Oryzias latipes: one gene and its partner. The protein of the gene in region 1 purifies or fractionates together with the protein of each later gene. This does not show direct contact. Links are inferred from orthologs where the notes say so. Each region holds a gene or a part of one and is shown on either strand. Other genes may lie near its edges. The genes, in order: mrgbp and ing3.

Region 1 (3,349 bases):
TTTTCAATGAACTTAGTTCTTACTTCCTGCCTCAGCTTCACTTAGCGGCACTCAGCCCTTTAGCACACGCTCAGATCAGAGGCTGGCAGGTGAGGAAACTGTCTCAGGGACGATCGTGGTCCGTTCGACGTTCTTCCTCCTTGTTGAACCTTCTGGGTTGTTCCTTGTGTGTGAGGAAGGTGTCTCCTCTTCTGTGTGCAGGGAAGCTGGGTTCAGAGGAGGACACCAAAGAGGAGTTCAGGATGGAGAGAGAGCCTCCAGCAACTCACGAAGAAGGTTTGTCTGCTGTCCTCCTCTTCCTCCCCCTGCTGTATGCTGAAACGGAGCTTCATTTGAAGCCCTCCGAGGATTTGAGCTCAGGCTTTTGCTTTGTCGGAAGAAGTTGTAATGATGGCTGGACTTACGCGACATTTTCTCTTCAGAGATGCGTTAGGCAGGTTGACCAGCTGTGTGGTCATGATGACATCACTTCCTGGGGGACTGAGAAGAGCACACTGACCATGGTTTATCCCAACTGTTTGCCTTTTGTGTCTCATCTCAGGGAGTAACTCCTCCATTAAGATGCCAGAGCGAACGAGCAGCAGCCGGGACAAAGAGAGGGAGCGGGACAAGGAGAAGGCGGGGAGTGAAGGAGGGGCAACAACGGCAGGAGGAGGAGGAGGAGGAGGGGCAAAAGAGGCAGAGAAGAGGAAGAGGAGCCGAGCGGCCGACAAGCTGTTGTCATCTTCCAACCCTGCAAGTCCAGGGGGAGCCAAGAGGAGGCGCACATGAGCACAGGAGGAGGCCAGGGGACTGACTTCCATGTCACACGACTGCTAAGTGTTTCTTTACGCTGAGGCTTCCCTGATTGGCTGCCGTGCATCTGTCACTCATCATGTGACCTCAGTGGGATGAAATGAAGCACAATAGTGATCCAGGCGCTGACCGTGGCGTGCAGAAAGTGAGGACTTACCTTTTGATTTTGTGGTAGTTTTGTGTTTAAATAAGGATGGTTTGTAGTGCGTGCCCTGGGTTTCGTCTGTCAGGCTAATGAAGCCTCTCTGGACTTGTAGATGAGTAGATGTGGGTCACTGCTGTGCAACACCCAGCTCTGTTACTGCAGATTATTTGTTTTGTTCAAGTGTCTAAAGCTACTGTGTGTAAAATTCCCAGCATGCATCTCAGCAGGACATGATCAGTTGCTGGGCTTCTCTTGAGCTGCGACCGAGAAGTGGAGAAGAGACTCAGAGGGTCAATCAAAGTGGTCCTGTTTGATCCCCCTGCCCCCTTCTCAGCAGGAGAGTCTGAGGAACGTTCTGGGCTACCGAAGCCTCAGCGCTGTTGTCTTTCAGATCTAACCATAACAGATCTATGAGGGGAAACACGGAGCTCGTCTGCAGAATAAAGCCATGCTCATTTCACTGTAAAGAAAACGTCTCATTGCTTTGAAAACAGACTGAAGTTGTCTGTTTCTGAATGGTGCATCTCCTGATCCAAACCAGTTCCTTGCCTTCCCAGCTCGTATGGCGGCATCTAGTGGCTCCACGCAGACTTTGAGCGTCTCTGCTTCTTCTTTGGGCAGCACCAAACAGCCTTTTAAGATCCGAGCTGCATAATCACAGCCGACTGTCTTCAGATCTCAGGTTTGGTCACGGCAAACAGATCTGCGGAGAAACGAGGATCGTGACCCATTCCGGGGTTGTAGGTGGTGCCTTAAGGACATCTGCTGCTGCAACACCATGTCAGAAGGACTGCTGCTCACACGAGCAGGAAAGACAACAAAGCTTAATAATGAATACTGACTGCATCCTTCAGTAAGCTAGTGTTTGTTTTAAGGGCTGCAGATTCTGTGAAGGACGTCTTGAACCGTTTTCTCCTCGCGCCTCAGCCTGCTTTAAAAACATCTGAGGCTTAAGAAGCTTCAGGTACCACAACCCTCCCAAAGAGAGGAATGAACCAAGGTTTAAAGACGAGAAATAGCAGTTATGCTCATATATTTATATGTTTCAGGCCCATCAGTAAAAATGGCATTCCAAAGTGGGTCTATCTGAATTGGAGGAGCAACAAAAGAGATGAAGAAAGCTGATAATCAGTGTGAGGGCTGTGGGTTGAGGAGAAAACCCTTTAGAGGTCCTGCAGCCGTTTGTCCACCTCCAGCATTAAAGGGAAGCTTCTGGAAAATGATGGTTGAGAAATCCCCGACCACCTGCGCTTCATTCTTTCTGTCTGCTTTGGTTTGCAGCCGTTTGTCTGCCAAAGCTGTCGTTTTCATTTAAAGCAGAGTCCCCGAGTCCGCTGCATCATTTCCGTGCAAAGCGCTCGTCTGGTCAGGTTTGGTTCCGACACCAGAGACCCAGACTCGGCCCGCGGCGAAGCCTGACCCGCTGCGTTTGACAGCCAACACTCCTGACACGTTCTGGTCCGACTGACTGCAGTAAACTGGATGCTGAACTGGTCCCTGTGTTCATGAAGGGCAGGTTTAGTTTGGCTTGACTTCCTCTTGTTCCCTTTCAATGTATTCCTTGACATTGTAGGATACTGATGGTGATGTTTGTGACATTAAATGTGAACTTTTTCAACTGAACTGAGTTTTTGAGACATTAGTAAAACAGGAGAGAATTTGGGAGAAACTCAGGATCGTGGACACAAATCCAGCAAACGTCCTGCTAAAGTTAGGATCGTTGGTACTTTAATGCTTTCCACCTGTATATAGACTTAACCCTTGTGCTATCTTGTGGGGTCCAGATGACCCTGCTCCCAACGTTGACGTGCCTCGGAGGCACGTTTCACTTCCAGAACTAGCAGCTGAAGCACGGAGGTGGATGCATCATGCTTATTTACGTTCAGAACAGAAAGACGATAGAAAAAAAAAAATAAGCCCAAAACCACCAGTAAAGGCATACATTTCTACAACGTTAATGGTATTCCGGGTGTCCTAAGCAGATTTATTATTATTATTAGAAACAGTGTGCTCTTTAAGCTGCAGTTGAGCGTGGGATTTTTTTTTCAGCAGAGCAGAAGTTCCAGACACAACACGGCGTGTAAAAGGATGAACTTTGTCTGTTTCAAAAGATGCACAATTACCCAGATTCACAAGTATTTTATCATCAGTATTTGCAAATAGATAACAGCCTAACACAGCATCGCTGCTGGAAGGAGCGCCTCTGCAGATCTTTCCTGCTGTCAGCCTTTAGACTTTACATCACCTAACACACACTGGACCCTTCATTGTGTCAGTTATTGTATATTTTTAGGGCTATTTGTTGTTCCTTACTATTATGTCTCTGGAGCTATTGTAACAGATCCATTTCCCTGTTGTACAATCACAGTGCTTTTGTTAAAGATATAGGTACCACATCACATCACAAAA
Region 2 (4,272 bases), on another chromosome or scaffold:
GGTCGTAGGTCCAGTCCACTTGGCTGTTAGCCTCAGCTTCCGGCAGCGCCGACGCCTGCTGAGAGAGCTCCTGAGCCAGTGCCGAGGAGGAGGAGCAGGAGGACAGGGAGGAGGAGGAGGAAGAGGAGGACTGGTGACTGGAAGACTTGATGTTGCTCCTGGAAAACAGGGACTAGAGGTCAGACGGGTCCGAGACACCTGCGGTGGGACGGGGGTAACTTACTTTGACTTCCGACCTCTGGAGTCAGAGGTGGTGCTGGGAGTGAGCGTCTGGGTGAGGGTGGAGGCCAGGGCGGAGGAGGAGTAGGAGCCGTCCCGGGACACGGAGAACTCTCGGCCCAGCTGGAAGTCGTTGTTCTTGATGGCCTCGTAGCTGGCTTTGAGGCTGGAGGTCCGGCGGCCTTCCTTCATCTGATGGGACGGAACAGACGGGGGATGGAGCGCCACCAGCGGGGCCGACATGCACGATTTTAGGATGGGGGTCGGGTTCTGACCTGGGCTGTGGCCTGTACGGCCTGCGCCGCCGCCAAGGTGATGGCGCCGGCGCCGGCCCCGGGTCCTGCGGGCAGAGCGCTCAGGTTGTAGGAAGCCAGGGGCTGAGAGGAGTTGAGGCTGTAGGCGCTGTTGGTGGATGCAGACATGCTGTTGGTGCGGCAACCTAGGGGGCAGGAGGGGGGGGGGGCAGTTAGCTGCGTGGAGGCTCCGCCCTCCAGCTGCATGGCTGTTATCTGCAGATGCTACCTGGCGTGTTCTCCTTGGACGGATCCGAGGTGAGTGTAGACAGCAGAGCCTCAGACTTGAACTTCTTCTCAGGAATGTGCTCCACCGTGTGGTGGGCGGGGGCGCTGCACTTCCTCTCTGTGGACAGAGGACACGGTGACACGTGAACCTGCTGCAGAGGTCCTGACATCACGAGGCGGAGCTGAGGGCGTGCAGCAGCTTACTCTCGGCTGTTATGTGCGAGTGCATGTGATGGTTGTTGACCGGCTGGGAGGGACTGTCCATCTCCAGTGACCCTGAGAAGAGCACAAGGTCACCGCTCTGCCTTTCAGCCCCAACGAGTCGCTCTGGAATCGAACTCACGTCTCTCCAGGATCTCTGTGATGCCGGCATTGTCTGCCTCCAGCTCCATTTTGAACTTGGCCAGCTCCTGGTCCAGTTTCCGCAGGTGCCGGTCCACCTGGAGGCAGAGGAGACAACAGGTCACATGAGCTTCTGGACGCGGTGCAGCAGGTAGACCCGGTCCAGCTGCTGCGGGGCGTCTGTTGGTGATGAGGGAGGAAAGCTCCTCCCCAGTGGTGTTAGGGACAGACAAAACTGTCAGGGAACTCCGTCCTGCTACGGTGGAACCTCCAGGCGATCCGGCAAACCCAGCTGGACCGTCACTGTGCAGGAGGTCAGAGACCATCCGGTCAGAGCGGCAGACGGTTCCACTCACCAGATCATAAATCTGATTGGCCAGCTGTACTTTCTCATCTGCGTCCTCCAGGGCCTTGTAATAATCCTGAAACACACCAGAAACAGAATCTAGATCTGACAGGTTCCTTCGGGTTCCTCCAGAACCAGCAGCAGATTCCAGACCTTCTTGATAACCTCCATTTGCTCCTCTCTCCACTCAGGTTTGTTCTTCTTTGCATTGATGAAGAAATCAATGACCCTCTGCTCCAGCTGGTCTGTGGCGTCTGAAACAAAGAGGCGGGAAAGAACTAAAGCACATGACATCAGCTTTCTGGTGCTGGTTCTGGATCAGACAGGAACCTAGAAGAACTCTCTTACTGTCTCCAAAGTTCTTCCACCTGCAACTGCATCAGAGGTCAGATCTGAGACTGGGGGGGGGGGGGTCAGTCCACCTAACTCTGACCCTCCAACAGCTAGGGGTCACAGATGACCCTGGAGGACTTTACAACTGAACTAGGGCTGCACGAGATGAGCAAAACTCGCCATTTCCAACATTACTGATGAATATTGCAATGACCATATAAGTTGTGATGCATATAGCAAACTATCTAAATAGATCATTTCCATTTCACTGCAACAGCTTCAATTAAATTTAAAGTGTACGTTAAATTACACTCCGAATGCCCCCCCCCCCCCCCCTACATCAAAGGGCTCCATCTGGTTGGTCAAATGCATTAATGGATTTATGTGATTCCTTAAATCCTTCAAGCTGCCATAAGATTGTTTGAGCACATTTAAAGTTACATTTATCACAGCTTGATATCAGGATAACGATAAATGAGTGACTGAATGTGCCTCAACTAACAAATACTGATGTGATAAAAGTTTGAACAGCAGCTGCGGTCATGACGTCAACATGAAAGGCGGCGGATAATGAAGGGATGTGCTTTGATCACCATGACCGCCTGACAAAAAGGGGAGGGGCTTCAGAATCTCAGCCACATATGCGTAAAGTGGCGCACGCAGCTCTACAAAACCTCACTTAGTGAATTATTAAACGAGCTGAAAGGTTGATAAGTTCCGTTGACGTGACTGAGGTGTCACCGGGTTCACGGACATGTCAGGTGTGTTAGCTCCGGTAATCTGGCCTTTTTTAACCGCTCGCTGGCGGTTCGAGTCTCCGTGCCGCGGCAGATGTCCCAGCCGAGCCCGGTGGTTGGCGGAAATACGTACTCTGCACCTGCAGGTCCATCTCCCGCATTTCCGTGAACCTATCGCGGAGGTCCATGGGAAGCTGCTCGATCACTGCCGGAAAAGGAAAAACACGTTAGCATCCGCTGCAGCTAGGCTAACGGAAATGCACGCGGCGGCCACACATAGACACACACTGTGCACACATAACGGGCCGAAGTCGGTACCGCCGCGACGCCCCGGTCCGGTACTCACTCTCAAGGTAATCTTCTAGGTACAGCATGGTGGCAAAGTTCGCGCTTTGGCCGTTTTAGGACAGAAACGGCTTCTTCCAATATGGCGCTGCCTCGCTGACAAAAACACTGGAAAAAAAATGAGGTCAGACTGCGCCTGCGTGACGTACGCGGCTTTCGGATTGGTTCAACAATGAGGGCGCGGTTTTTCCTGTTGTTAAAGGAAATGCATCATGGGAATAGTAGTTTAACTTGCATACTTTTGGACTTTGCACCAAATAAAGATGTTTTACTTAAGATTTTCGCTAATATTATAAACAGAAGGTGGGCTTGGCCTGAGATTATTTAGCTGCTGAGACCTTAAGCAACGGGTCTGTTTGTCTGTGATGAAAATATCAGGACAGAAACGCTGCTATAAACCAAAAATCACTTCATAAGGAAATCACCGATCTATGTTTTGCCTATCTGCACCTTTCTTTCCTTCCTTTCTTTTTAAATCTTTTTTTTTTCTTCCTTTTCTTTTAAAGTAAATTTTATGTTGATTATTTCTATGATGTATTGTGATTTTAATGCATTTTTCTGTTTTGTGAAGCACCTTGAATTACTTTGTGTACGAATTGTGCTATACAAATAAACTTGCCTTGCCTTGCCTTGGACATGATCTGCTTCCATGCCCTCACAAAGTTGAGCAAAACATCTGGAGTTCACAGCATTACTTTGAATGAAGTTGATGGTTTTCACAGTGACATCCATCACCTCATGGAACTCTGGAGACATTTTTTTTGCTGCAAGGTTTTCACGGTGGAGAAAACAATGGGTCCATTTAGCTTCTGGCGCAAGATCAAGTATCTGCTTGATGACACCGCGATGCCTGCCAGTCATTGACGCTGCGCCATCACAGCACACTCCAACACCGTTCTGCCAGTCAAGGCCATTCTCAGTGAAGTAGTTATCCATGCAGCGGAAACATTCCTCAGCTGTAGCTCGAGTTGGAAATTCTCCACAAAACAGAATGTCTTCTTGCAAAGAGCTATCCCACCGGTAGCGAACAAAAACCAACAGCAGCGCAGCATTTGTGACGTCAGTCGACTGGTCCAGCTGCAAAGAGAAAAAGGGGCTCTGTCTTATTCTCCCCAGAAGCTGCTGCTCAATGTCTGAGGCCCTGTCAGCAATATGGTGACTCACAATGTCATTCGACAGCGGGATGGTCTTGAGCTTCTTTGCTGCAGCCTCACCAATCATCTCACGGCACATGTCCACAGCGGCAGGCAGAACCAGTTCCTCCGCTATGGTGAACGCTTTCTTACTCTGCGCCACACGTCTGGCTACGAGGTAGCTGGCCTTTAACGCACACTTAGCGTCGCCAGTCAGTGACACGATGGACCCCCTCTGCATCTGAAGCCCATCATCCTTTCTTTTGAAATAATCCACTGGCTTTCCAATGAGCTTC

The links.
Region 2: the proteins of mrgbp (region 1) and ing3 purify together in Homo sapiens (co-immunoprecipitation; 4 studies listed by BioGRID and IntAct, counting the BioPlex papers as one, with this or other methods). This does not show direct contact. The link is inferred for Oryzias latipes from reciprocal best matches to the Homo sapiens genes MRGBP and ING3.

The regions. Positions count from the first base shown.
Region 1 is NC_019865.2:29,100,021-29,103,369, forward strand, and holds the end of mrgbp (MRG/MORF4L-binding protein), read left to right. Parts: intron 1-201; coding exon 202-276; intron 277-541; coding exon 542-771; 3' UTR 772-2,563; downstream 2,564-3,349.
Region 2 is NC_019881.2:24,133,109-24,137,380, reverse strand, and holds the start of ing3 (inhibitor of growth protein 3), read right to left. Parts: upstream 2,965-4,272; 5' UTR 2,873-2,964; coding exon 2,845-2,872; exon of another isoform or gene 2,788-2,844; coding exon of another isoform or gene 2,787-2,787; intron 2,704-2,786; coding exon 2,632-2,703; intron 1,683-2,631; coding exon 1,582-1,682; intron 1,505-1,581; coding exon 1,439-1,504; intron 1,181-1,438; coding exon 1,084-1,180; intron 1,017-1,083; coding exon 945-1,016; intron 859-944; coding exon 742-858; intron 659-741; coding exon 495-658; intron 412-494; coding exon 224-411; intron 159-223; coding exon 1-158. UniProt on the Homo sapiens protein: Component of the NuA4 histone acetyltransferase (HAT) complex which is involved in transcriptional activation of select genes principally by acetylation of nucleosomal histones H4 and H2A.